Linked DNA regions of Saccharomyces cerevisiae S288C. The gene in region 1 interacts genetically with each later gene. Each region holds a gene or a part of one and is shown in the gene's direction. Other genes may lie near its edges.

Region 1 (6,232 bases):
TTTCAGTCCTCTTCGTATGCATTTCCCAAAATTCATTCGTAGCCTTGTCAACTTAGACTCAGTTCCACGGCGTGCAGGACGGGGTATTATGAATAAAAGGATCCACGGGTGAGATTTGTTTTATGTTTTAGGTATGGAGTTTTGTACCACAAAACTTTAGGAATACCGGATTGTGTGCCTACGCCAGCCCCAGAGTATGTTCTCACAGCTGTAATTCCTAGTGATCTTTTCCTGACTCCAATAGGAACGCCGGTAGGCAAATTAAACTTTCGCGGCAGGAAAAAAAAGGCTTTTTCTTTTTTGCCTTTCAGTTTCTCGGAATGTGGCATTACATAAGCATAATCCTTTTTGGGTGTGCCTGGAAAGTTCAAATTAAGGTTTTTTTCTTCTGTTTTCTTAACAAGAAAATGTCGCCCAAAGAGTTTCGGCCGTTATTTTCCTATCGAGTGGGTCCTTTTTGTCTTTAGTCCTTCTCTGGGGCTAGCGATCACTGCAAAATTAGGCTTTACTGGTACGAGTTAACTTTTTTTCTTTTTTTTGTCATCCTTTTCTTTGGGGCTAAGAATGGACTTCCCTTTTCTTTTTCTTTGTTGCGACAGTGGCTTCAAAGAACTGCTGATTGCTCAAGGCAATCAGTCCGAGCGTTTAGAAGGTGATTGTAGGCAGAAATTAACTTTGCGGTAAAAGAATGACATTCTTTCTTAAAAGAAAAATTAGCTTTTTTTTGTCAGGCATTGCACAAACTTTTTTATTTCTGCCTATACTCTTAAACAGATCAGTCATTCATGTTGTCTTTTTAACGGTCGTACTGGGACATCGCATACCTTGGGATTCCGTAATTAGGTGCAACAATACGGGCACAACTCATTCTGCGGTATCTTCACGGACAGAACTTCTATTGCCTATCGGTGGTGTGATTAACAATTGGAAGCGCAGAGCTTGGAATGGATTTTCAATTCAATGGATTTGGAGGTATTCGTTTGTTTACTAATATTTACTTTGAGGACATTGCCCAACCCTAAAAGTGCCTGCTCAAGAATAGAATAACATTATGATACGTTTTCTTGACCGCTGAGCAATTTAAAGCAACTATTAGGGTACGATTGTTTCTAGAGAAATGTGGGTCATCTTTTTAGGTCCGTTCTCTTCTGATGAGGTAACCTTTACAAAAATGTCATAGAGTTACCAATTGGGATTCAAGGCATCATCGCAATATACTTCGTTCTTTTACGGAGAAATTAAGCTCTTTCTACTTTGAATTAACTGTTAGACTTGTCTTATCTGAGGAATGTCCGTGTTCGAATTAAATAAAAAATTAGGGCAGTTTTATTTACCTTAACAAATATGTTCAAGCATTTACGTTACTGCGCTCTCTTCTAGTTCAAGAACGGATAACTCATAGACTTACCAGTACAAATTGTTGAAGGGTTCCCAATTGATAAAAAGGATCTCTTGCTTCCTAAAATAAACGTATAAAAAGCACCCTATTCATCAGTTATTATCCCTCGTCATGTTGTGGTTCTAATTAAAATATACTTTTGTAGGCCTCAAAAATCCATATACGCACACTATGCAAAGACCATTTCTACTCGCTTATTTGGTCCTTTCGCTTCTATTTAACTCGGCTTTGGGTTTTCCAACTGCACTAGTTCCAAGAGGATCCTCCGAAGGAACTAGCTGTAATTCTATCGTTAATGGCTGTCCCAACTTAGACTTCAATTGGCACATGGACCAGCAAAATATCATGCAGTATACTTTGGATGTGACTTCCGTTTCTTGGGTTCAAGACAACACATACCAAATCACTATTCATGTCAAAGGTAAAGAAAATATTGACCTGAAGTATCTATGGTCTTTGAAAATCATTGGTGTCACTGGTCCAAAAGGTACCGTCCAACTATACGGTTACAACGAAAATACCTATTTGATTGACAACCCAACTGATTTCACAGCCACTTTTGAAGTTTATGCCACACAAGATGTCAACAGCTGTCAGGTGTGGATGCCTAACTTCCAAATTCAATTCGAGTATTTGCAAGGTAGTGCCGCTCAATATGCAAGCTCCTGGCAATGGGGAACTACATCTTTTGATTTGTCTACTGGTTGTAACAACTATGACAATCAAGGCCACTCTCAAACGGATTTCCCAGGCTTCTATTGGAACATAGATTGTGACAATAATTGTGGCGGTACGAAGTCATCTACCACTACATCTAGCACTTCCGAGTCATCTACCACTACATCTAGCACTTCCGAGTCATCTACCACTACATCTAGCACTTCCGAGTCATCTACCACTACATCTAGCACTTCCGAGTCATCTACATCATCATCAACCACCGCTCCTGCTACACCAACCACTACCTCATGCACTAAGGAAAAGCCTACACCCCCAACCACTACCTCATGCACAAAGGAAAAGCCTACACCTCCTCATCACGACACCACTCCATGTACAAAGAAGAAAACTACCACATCTAAGACATGCACTAAGAAGACTACTACTCCAGTACCAACCCCATCAAGCTCTACTACTGAAAGTTCTTCTGCTCCAGTACCAACTCCATCCAGCTCTACTACTGAAAGCTCTTCTGCTCCAGTAACCAGCTCTACCACTGAAAGCTCTTCTGCTCCAGTACCAACCCCATCAAGCTCTACTACTGAAAGCTCTTCTGCTCCAGTAACCAGCTCTACCACTGAAAGCTCTTCTGCTCCAGTAACCAGCTCTACCACTGAAAGCTCTTCTGCTCCAGTACCAACTCCATCCAGCTCTACTACTGAAAGCTCTTCTGCTCCAGTAACCAGCTCTACCACTGAAAGCTCTTCTGCTCCAGTAACCAGCTCTACCACTGAAAGCTCTTCTGCTCCAGTAACCAGCTCTACCACTGAAAGCTCTTCTGCTCCAGTAACCAGCTCTACCACTGAAAGCTCTTCTGCTCCAGTACCAACTCCATCCAGCTCTACTACTGAAAGCTCTTCTGCTCCAGTAACCAGCTCTACCACTGAAAGCTCTTCTGCTCCAGTACCAACTCCATCCAGCTCTACTACTGAAAGCTCTTCTGCTCCAGTAACCAGCTCTACCACTGAAAGCTCTTCTGCTCCAGTACCAACTCCATCCAGCTCTACTACTGAAAGCTCTTCTGCTCCAGCTCCAACCCCATCAAGCTCCACCACTGAAAGCTCTTCTGCTCCAGTAACCAGCTCTACCACTGAAAGCTCTTCTGCTCCAGTACCAACTCCATCCAGCTCTACTACTGAAAGCTCTTCTACTCCAGTAACCAGCTCCACCACTGAAAGCTCTTCTGCTCCAGTGCCAACTCCATCAAGCTCTACTACTGAAAGCTCTTCTGCTCCAGTACCAACTCCATCAAGCTCTACTACTGAAAGCTCTTCTGCTCCAGCTCCAACCCCATCAAGCTCTACTACTGAAAGCTCTTCTGCTCCAGTAACCAGCTCTACCACTGAAAGCTCTTCTGCTCCAGTACCAACTCCATCCAGCTCTACTACTGAAAGCTCTTCTGCTCCAGTACCAACCCCATCCAGCTCTACTACTGAAAGCTCTTCTGCTCCAGTACCAACTCCATCCAGCTCTACTACTGAAAGCTCTTCTGCTCCAGTAACCAGCTCTACCACTGAAAGCTCTTCTGCTCCAGTAACCAGCTCTACCACTGAAAGCTCTTCTGCTCCAGTACCAACTCCATCCAGCTCTACTACTGAAAGCTCTTCTGCTCCAGTACCAACTCCATCCAGCTCTACTACTGAAAGCTCTTCTGCTCCAGTACCAACTCCATCCAGCTCTACTACTGAAAGCTCTTCTGCTCCAGTAACCAGCTCTACCACTGAAAGCTCTTCTGCTCCAGTACCAACTCCATCCAGCTCTACTACTGAAAGCTCTTCTGCTCCAGTGCCAACTCCATCCAGCTCTACTACCGAAAGCTCTTCTGCTCCAGTACCAACCCCATCAAGCTCTACTACTGAAAGCTCTGTAGCACCAGTACCAACCCCATCTTCCTCTAGCAACATCACTTCCTCCGCTCCATCTTCAACCCCATTCAGCTCTAGCACTGAAAGCTCTTCTGTTCCAGTACCAACCCCATCAAGCTCTACTACTGAAAGCTCTTCTGCTCCAGTATCCAGCTCCACCACTGAAAGCTCTGTAGCACCAGTACCAACCCCATCTTCCTCTAGCAACATCACTTCCTCCGCTCCATCTTCAATTCCATTCAGCTCTACTACTGAAAGCTTTTCTACTGGCACTACTGTCACTCCATCATCATCCAAATACCCTGGCAGTCAAACAGAAACCTCTGTTTCTTCTACAACCGAAACTACCATTGTTCCAACTAAAACTACGACTTCTGTCACTACACCATCAACAACCACTATTACCACTACGGTTTGCTCTACAGGAACAAACTCTGCCGGTGAAACTACCTCTGGATGCTCTCCAAAGACCGTTACAACTACTGTTCCAACTACAACTACGACTTCTGTCACTACATCATCAACAACCACTATTACTACTACAGTTTGCTCTACAGGAACAAACTCTGCCGGTGAAACTACCTCTGGATGCTCTCCAAAGACCATTACAACTACTGTTCCATGTTCAACCAGTCCAAGCGAAACCGCCTCGGAATCAACAACCACTTCACCTACCACACCTGTAACTACAGTTGTCTCAACCACCGTCGTTACTACTGAGTATTCTACTAGTACAAAACCAGGTGGTGAAATTACAACTACATTTGTCACCAAAAACATTCCAACCACTTACCTAACCACAATTGCTCCAACTCCATCAGTCACTACGGTTACCAATTTCACCCCAACCACTATTACTACTACGGTTTGCTCTACAGGTACAAACTCTGCCGGTGAAACTACCTCTGGATGCTCTCCAAAGACTGTCACAACCACTGTTCCTTGTTCAACTGGTACTGGCGAATACACTACTGAAGCTACCACCCTTGTTACAACAGCTGTCACAACCACCGTTGTTACCACTGAATCCTCTACGGGTACTAACTCCGCTGGTAAGACGACAACTGGTTACACAACAAAGTCTGTACCAACCACCTATGTAACCACTTTGGCTCCAAGTGCACCAGTAACTCCTGCCACTAATGCCGTACCAACTACAATAACCACTACTGAATGTTCTGCTGCTACAAACGCTGCCGGTGAAACTACATCTGTATGCTCTGCTAAGACTATCGTAAGTTCTGCAAGCGCAGGCGAAAACACTGCACCTTCGGCTACCACCCCTGTCACGACGGCTATTCCAACCACAGTTATTACCACTGAGTCATCTGTTGGTACTAACTCCGCTGGCGAAACAACAACTGGTTACACAACCAAGTCCATCCCAACCACTTACATAACCACTTTGATTCCAGGTTCAAATGGTGCCAAGAATTACGAAACTGTGGCCACAGCAACCAACCCTATTTCAATCAAGACTACATCCCAACTAGCTACAACAGCTTCTGCTTCTAGCGTGGCTCCCGTTGTCACATCTCCATCTCTAACTGGTCCACTACAATCTGCTTCTGGTTCTGCAGTCGCTACATACTCTGTTCCTTCTATCTCGAGTACTTACCAAGGTGCTGCTAATATCAAGGTTCTTGGAAACTTTATGTGGTTGCTACTCGCTCTTCCAGTTGTATTCTAATGATACAATTCCAACATGTTCGTTTCTTCATTACGATGTTTTCATTCTTAAATTAAGATATTATTTCGATACCCTCTTTACTTTCTTCCACCATTCTGTTTTCGCTGCCATAATTTTGTAAGGCAGAAAACTACCCGTAGAATACATATTCATTTACATATTTTTTAGTTCTTCAAAAATTATCTTTTACCTTTTTTTACTTTATTTTACCATTTTTCTTCTAGCCCTATTTTGACCATCTGATAGCTTATTCAAGAACAAGTACCGGTAGTATTGGCACCGCGCCACTTTTCCCTCTCGCTTTTTTTTTTTTTCTTTTTGCCAAGCGCCTGCACGTTCTTTTGTCTGGAGTCTTGGAAAATGATAACCACCAAAAATCATCCCACGGACGGCTTGAGTAAAAATGTTTTTCCGCGAGACGGAAAGAGACGTAACAACCTTACATTTTTCCTAAAAGATTAATAAACCTGATATTGCCTTGGCACAACTAATAATCTTCGACCAGGCTTTGATGAATAAGAGGATCTTTACAGGCACCTTTGCTCTTTGAACAAAGAA
Region 2 (3,227 bases), on another chromosome or scaffold:
GCCAACTTAGACCAAGCAAAGGAGATTGTCAAGATAGCAGAATCCACCCCATTGCCCGTTGGTGTGGCTGAAAATTGGTTATATTTACCATGTATTAAAATCGCAAAGGAGCAGATCGAGAAAATTGGTCCTGTAGTAGCATTCACCCACAATTCTACCGGTCCATTTGTTACTCAAAATAAATATTTGACCACAACCTGGAGACAAAAACCAGAGCACATTGGCGGATTTCTATCTGATGGTGGTGTCCACCAATTAGCTCTCGTTATTTCCCTACTCGGTGAATTTGGATCTGTTTCTGCATTAACGAGACAGGTGCGTGAACGTTCCGGTGCAGATGATATTGTCTTTGCTACTGTCCAGTTGAAAAATAAAGAGGTTATCGGAAGTTTTACTTATGGGTCTGCCTTTGGTGCTACCGAAAAGTCGGTTTTCTTGAAAGTCTATGGTAAGAATGGTACCGTTACCGTTGACTTATCAGACAAAAAAGACCCCGTTGTAAAAGTCAAATTAGGGGGTTCAGCTGAAGATAACGGTGACGAACAAATTTTTAAAGTCGATAATGATGAAAGTTTCGGCGTCAACGCTGAATTTTTGAATTTTCACGAAGCTGTCAGCAAGAAGGACAAATCCTTATACCTAGGCACACCCAGAACTGCATTTCACCATTTGGCTTGTGTGGACGCGTTTTTAAAATCTTCTGCCAAGAATGGTGACTACGTTAAAATTGAGCAGCCATGATTACCGTTTTACGATGTAACGCTTTTTTAACCTTAATAGATAGATTCCCTCATATATTTATAACTATGTACCCACATAAGTATACTTTTGGAATGATAATACTAACGAGATAAAAAACCGTTGAAAAATTTCTAAGTTTTCTTGAACTAAAAATAGCCAAAATTCTCCATCCACTTGTTGTTGCAAAATGTTACGAAGGCGAGGTTCTTGGAAATCTGGATGATTATGGGAAAATTCGTTCAACAAGAACGCCGAGCCTGGACGAAATACTTAGTCGGCATGGAACTAGTTATGAATGACTTTTCCTATATAAGATCTACAACCGTTTCCAATTCACCATGAGATATATATATGTTTAACGAATCAGGTACTCGTCCGAAGCATTTCGAGTAATGCAACCCCACAAGTGTCCCCCAAGAATTCACTGGGATTTTTGATGACCGAAAGAAAGCTATTGCAGCTGCTACGGCGTCCTTTCATCTCCCTTTCTTTATTCACGGCCTTAAGAGCTTGTCCGCTTCGCCCCAAAAGCCTAATTGCTTAGAGCATGAGAGTTGAAAACGACCAGAAGTGTCGTTTTAGGTAAGCATTCGGCCATAATGAACAGTAAGTTTGTCCGAAAAATACACCGCTAGGGTTCGATAACGAAGAGCGCATATCAATTGCGTTGTCGACTTAATTGCTCTCTTAGTACAACGGTATGTGTCAGTGATAAAATCCTACCGGTTCCACTTTTTGTGAGCGATAGATGACGGAACGTATGCGCCTATTTCTTTTTTTTGGCGCAGCAAGGGACAATGGTCCCTTTTTGAGAAAATGTTGTAGGCTTGGCCATCGGCGTGAACGCATATAAAAAGAAGACTGCCAACATGACAGTATTTGAAACAACTACAGATTTGGCAAAGTTCGCCAAGATAAAGAAGACCGAAGCAGGTGCTAAGCTTCCATTAAAAGTTTTTCAAGAAAAATCTGATTATGGGTTCAATAAGTAGATACCTTCTTAAGAAAGCAGCAGATGGGCTTAAAGATGAGCAGAGATTGAAGATTGAAATGTCCGATAGCAAAAGTGTCCCAGAGTGCTTTCATTTTAATAGGGAAAGAAGAATGCCCATAGCCGAGATAAACGGCGAGGATGGGTTTTTCATGTTTCCGTCTCAGCAATCGCTTGAAAATTTTGAAAACACTAAAAAGTATTCGAATGAGCTGAGTCCAGATGCAATTGGTATTCCATTATTCCAAATTATCAATTGCACTCTACCGTTTGGTAAAAGAGGTCATAGCAATACTGTGGTCGGCAATGTCCCATATTATAAAATTTTCAAATTTATTTTAAGAACGGCAGACGAACCTCCGCCTTATACTGTGGCAAAAATCGTTTGCTCAAACAACGGATTAATATTGTATAAAGTGCCTCTTTACGACATATATAAAAATGTCAGCCAAGCAAACGTAACTTACAGCTTCGTAGGGACTACGTCTACGGAGCCCAACTTACTAGCAATGGCTCACCGAGAAGGACACAGGGATTTGGACACTAAAGTGAATAATTTAAATCTCAGGTGGCATGTCACTTATTCGCCCGTAGTTACCAACGATCATTATAAATTAATTCTGTTAGCAGATTATGAAGTGAATCGTTTGGATGAAGATGTCATTAGAGCCGCTAAAAATAAGATGTCCATCGACCAAAAGGATCAAAAAGTTCAGAGGTTCGTGGCAGCTCATTATACTAGAGAATTTGAAACATCTCTTTTTAGGTGGGTCGCTCAAGAGGGCCACTTAATTCTTGGCGAGTATTCCACAGATCAAGGATCATTTGGATTGAATAATATCCCACCATTGACGGAAGAACTCGGGTGTCAGAGCCTGCTCATACATTACATAGAGTACATGAAGAGACAACGTAAAAAAATTGCGAAAGAGGCAAGGAGACAAAATAAAAGAAACGTTGCAAACACGACTAACATGAACATGAACCTCATGTAACAAAAGTTTGCGTATAATAAACCAGTATAGATGTGTAACTGTAATTTTTAACTTATCACAAGCTCGTTCCCTTCCTGCGTTGAAAAAGCGGGACAATGCCAGAATATAAAAAAAAGAAGAAACTTTAAACCCTGTCATATCTTGTCCGAGATCTCGTCGTTCTTGTTTAATTGATCTTCTTCGTATACTGCCAAAGGTGCCAAGGCACAAAAAAGTTTAAAGTGGCACGGGCTATTGCGTCACATAAAGCCCGTAGCGCAAAAAAGTGATAGCTGACTTCATTAGATCACCAAAATGGAAAAAACTTCGTGAAGATTTCTTTTTATCTTCCTCACAGTTTTTAACTTCCGGGTGTTATACTCTCCGTTTGAAAAGTTGATTTTGTTAACTTTCCTCTTTCCTTTTGGAGTAAAAACAATATCCTCGATAGGCAAGACCTTCCTGCACCGCTATGGCGGCCATTTTGATTTTTCTTTACTGTGGGAAGCAAGAACTTGTTC
Region 3 (3,165 bases), on another chromosome or scaffold:
AACCCTCTTGAGTCCTTGTGTCTTAACGACCGCATAGACGAACACCGTTGCAAAGAAGTCCAGTTATCTTCATTACGAAGTCTATTGTATGCTATGATTTTAAATAGAACCATAGGCAGCGAGACCGGCGTTTTTTCTTTTCTGCTCTTTTCTTTTCGTTACTTCGGAGAGGAAAGAGACTTATTTTACTGCTTCTTCTCCGTCTTTTTACTTAACATTACATATTTATTGGATTAGAACTTTTGTATAGGGGTAAACAATACTGAGGATATTCATAACTATCTTTTTTAGGTCTCCTTGGCTCTTTTAAGTAGAACAAAAAAATCTAGGACAGTTGCTTTGCCTTTTCAATGTCAGTTAAAAAAATAATGGAAACGTTAGTTCCCACCCAGAAAGACAACAAAAAAGTGTTTTCTTTTCGAAGTATTCCAAGATTTCGTTGTCATGGCATATCGGTACAATCTTTTGGTTGGAATGAATAAAATCAGTTATCGTCCCACCAATGGGAATAGAGCATATAATGTTATCTCAGGACAGCAGTGATGTCCAAGAAAGTAACTACGAGAGTTTTACTATACTACATATTATAAGGACAAATAGTTGCATAGCAACAAGCTTGGGGGATAAACATCAAGAGAATGCATTGAGTTACTACGCAGGCCTTAAAGTAAGGCGATTCCACGGCAGTAATTAGTTTAGATAACAACTTACTCTACTGCGAGCTCTTCTTAAAAGACGTGTCCTTTTAAGATTCAGAAGCATTTTCTTGGGTAGGGGTTTTTTGCGTTACTCTGTTTTTTGAGATCGTAATTCGACACATAAAACTCTCAGCTAGCCCACCCTTTGGGCAAGTTATACCTTTCTACTTTCGTCCAATCCATACATCGCCCAATTAGGATAAAAGTAAATAACATATTCGAGTTTTGTAAATATCCGAAAGGGGAAGACAAGGAAATATCTAGGCACCAAATCCCTTTTTGGAAATGCGAACCACGGGAATATGCAAAAAAAAAAAGAAAACAATCCCGCTTTTTCAAGATTTCAGGCCGATTTTGAGATTAAAGTTTGACAGCCTCAGTCTTAAAAACAAAACAGTATGACAGAACGATTCAAAGAAACTACGGACAAAGGATTTATGCTAAACTGGTCACGCCGTTATAGACAGCAGTAATGCATGGAAAATCCCATGGCTATTCTAATCGGGTTTAAACTTTTTTTTTTCAGCTGCGAATATCTCTTAGTGCAAATTGGTAAACAAGAGAGCTCACAACACACTAAATACGTTGTGTAACGATACATAGCCTTGCTTAGGTAAACGACAGATGCATGCCCATTTCGATAGGAAAATCTTGAATTTTAAGCCCGTTACCGTAAATGTCATTCGATACTGTTTACAGTTTAGTTTTAAAGCGGTAACATTCTTGTTAATTTAAAATGGATCAATTTTGTCACTCTACGAGGAAAATCAAGCGAAGTATTATTTAAACGCAACATTTCTTTGTGCCTTCCACACTTCAGCTATATTTGGAACTTAGGCGCGTTTAGGTGATAAGTTGTTCTGTAAATATGTTTGATTAGTTAAACAAGAGAAATATAAAATTAAGAAAAAAAAAATTTCAAAAACATGGATGAAATGCATTCTTCAGACACACTTTTGTTGCGAACACCGAAATCAAAAAAAAAAATTGGGCTTGTAATACCCAGTACACCAAGTAAAAAATGTAAATATTCATCAGGCTTTATAGCAGAAGACACTACGCCCTCCAAACGGTTTCGTTTATACCAAGCCAAATTTAAGACAAGTTCAAAGAATGTCAAAGCCCAAACTCTTAGCGTATCAATAAAAAAAAATCAAGGTGAAATCACCAATCCATTTATGACCGAAGGATATAATGATTACCGGAATATTGTCAGTCCTGGATTGAGTTTTGATAACGACTGCTTTTCAGAACATGAATTAGTTAGTCCATTGAGTGATATATCTTCGATAAACTCGACATCGCCTGATGTTGAAAAGATTGATTCTTTAGATCCTTTTGGCGTTGATTCTTTTGTCTGGAACTGTAAGCCGCTTGTTAATAAAGAAGCACTGGAGCTCCACCGAATGATTCATTCTTCGTTTCCGATGAGCCCACTGGAATCCAACAGTGATGTGCCACTTTTATTGCCTAAACTCAAAAAAAGGTTATCTCCAGTAAACAGATCGACCTTCAAGCCAACAAGGTACGAACCCTCTCACCGTCTATTGAAGCCCAAAAAATCAATTCTAACAGTACCAGCCAAATCTCTGAATCTCATAGTCAGTTCGTCGCGAGGCTCATTAAATGACGCTACCATCTTTGCCACCGAAATAAATTCTACTTTGAGCAATGAAGAAAACAAATTACCAGCAATTTCTAGTATTTGGGAGAAGCTCACAATTCCAGTAAACTCTTCAATTAAGGAGAAATACAAGAAGCTTAAAGACCAAATATATGGGCAAGCTAGTAATTTTGGCGAAGATGAAGATAATGAAGAAGACAATGAAGACGACCTTCCCGACGCGGCAGTAATAAGAGGTTACGAATTTCAGTCAGGAAGGCGCGATGAGCTGACGCAATGTAATGAACTACAGAGTACGAAGGACTACAAAAAAGTTCAGTGGGCAAAGGTTTTAGAACAATAACTAGGTTCTTTTTCTTCTAATTTGTTGAATTCTAAACAAAGGAGTTTTTTTTTATTATTTCTTAACAACTGGTCTTTTTAATTAAATGAAAAAAGATAACAGCATTATTGTGCTAAGTATTGTACTCTTTTTTAGAAGCTGGAGTAATCTAAAAAAAGCTAAACACCATTATTACTATTTTCCTTCCTCAAGTTGTTGTTTTGCAAGACTATTGCTATTATATTATTATTATGATCATCATTATTATCACCTGTTTTCGCTTTTCCTCTTTTTTTATATTATCTCCTATACTTCTTACTGTAACAAAATTTATGATAAACATTGTATAAAAACATTATAGACGACTATATATATGTGTGTGTGTGTATGTATATGTACCGTATAACGATTTTTAAAAGTATTTAATTCTTCACGCTTTTTCGTTATAAAGTCCTTTTAATGATCCTCTAAGCAATCAGCTGTGTTGCAGTTGGCAGCGTCGTCGATAAGACAAGTGGAAC

Evidence for each region.
Region 2: of FLO11 (region 1) and DIA1, changing one suppresses a phenotype caused by changing the other (phenotypic suppression), as found in Saccharomyces cerevisiae (one study listed by BioGRID).
Region 3: of FLO11 (region 1) and SFG1, changing one enhances a phenotype caused by changing the other (phenotypic enhancement), as found in Saccharomyces cerevisiae (one study listed by BioGRID).

What each region holds. Positions count from the first base shown.
Region 1 is NC_001141.2:389,014-395,245, reverse strand, and holds FLO11 (Flo11p), read left to right. Parts: upstream 1-1,570; coding exon 1,571-5,674; downstream 5,675-6,232. Other genes in the region: YIR020C (uncharacterized protein), read left to right, coding at 689-991. UniProt on the Saccharomyces cerevisiae protein: Homophilic binding protein that enables kin discrimination in heterogeneous yeast populations by mediating homotypic cell-cell interactions during flocculation, a reversible and asexual process in which cells adhere to form aggregates (flocs).
Region 2 is NC_001145.3:903,109-906,335, forward strand, and holds DIA1 (Dia1p), read left to right. Parts: upstream 1-1,716; coding exon 1,717-2,727; downstream 2,728-3,227. Other genes in the region: YMR315W (uncharacterized protein), read left to right, coding at 1-741; YMR315W-A (uncharacterized protein), read left to right, coding at 1,178-1,285; YMR316C-A (uncharacterized protein), read right to left, coding at 2,554-2,865. UniProt on the Saccharomyces cerevisiae protein: Involved in regulation of invasive growth.
Region 3 is NC_001147.6:903,136-906,300, forward strand, and holds SFG1 (Sfg1p), read left to right. Parts: upstream 1-1,624; coding exon 1,625-2,665; downstream 2,666-3,165. Other genes in the region: YOR314W (uncharacterized protein), read left to right, coding at 1-237; metal cation transporter COT1, read right to left, coding at 3,101-3,165. UniProt on the Saccharomyces cerevisiae protein: Probable transcription factor required for superficial pseudohyphal development in response to nitrogen starvation.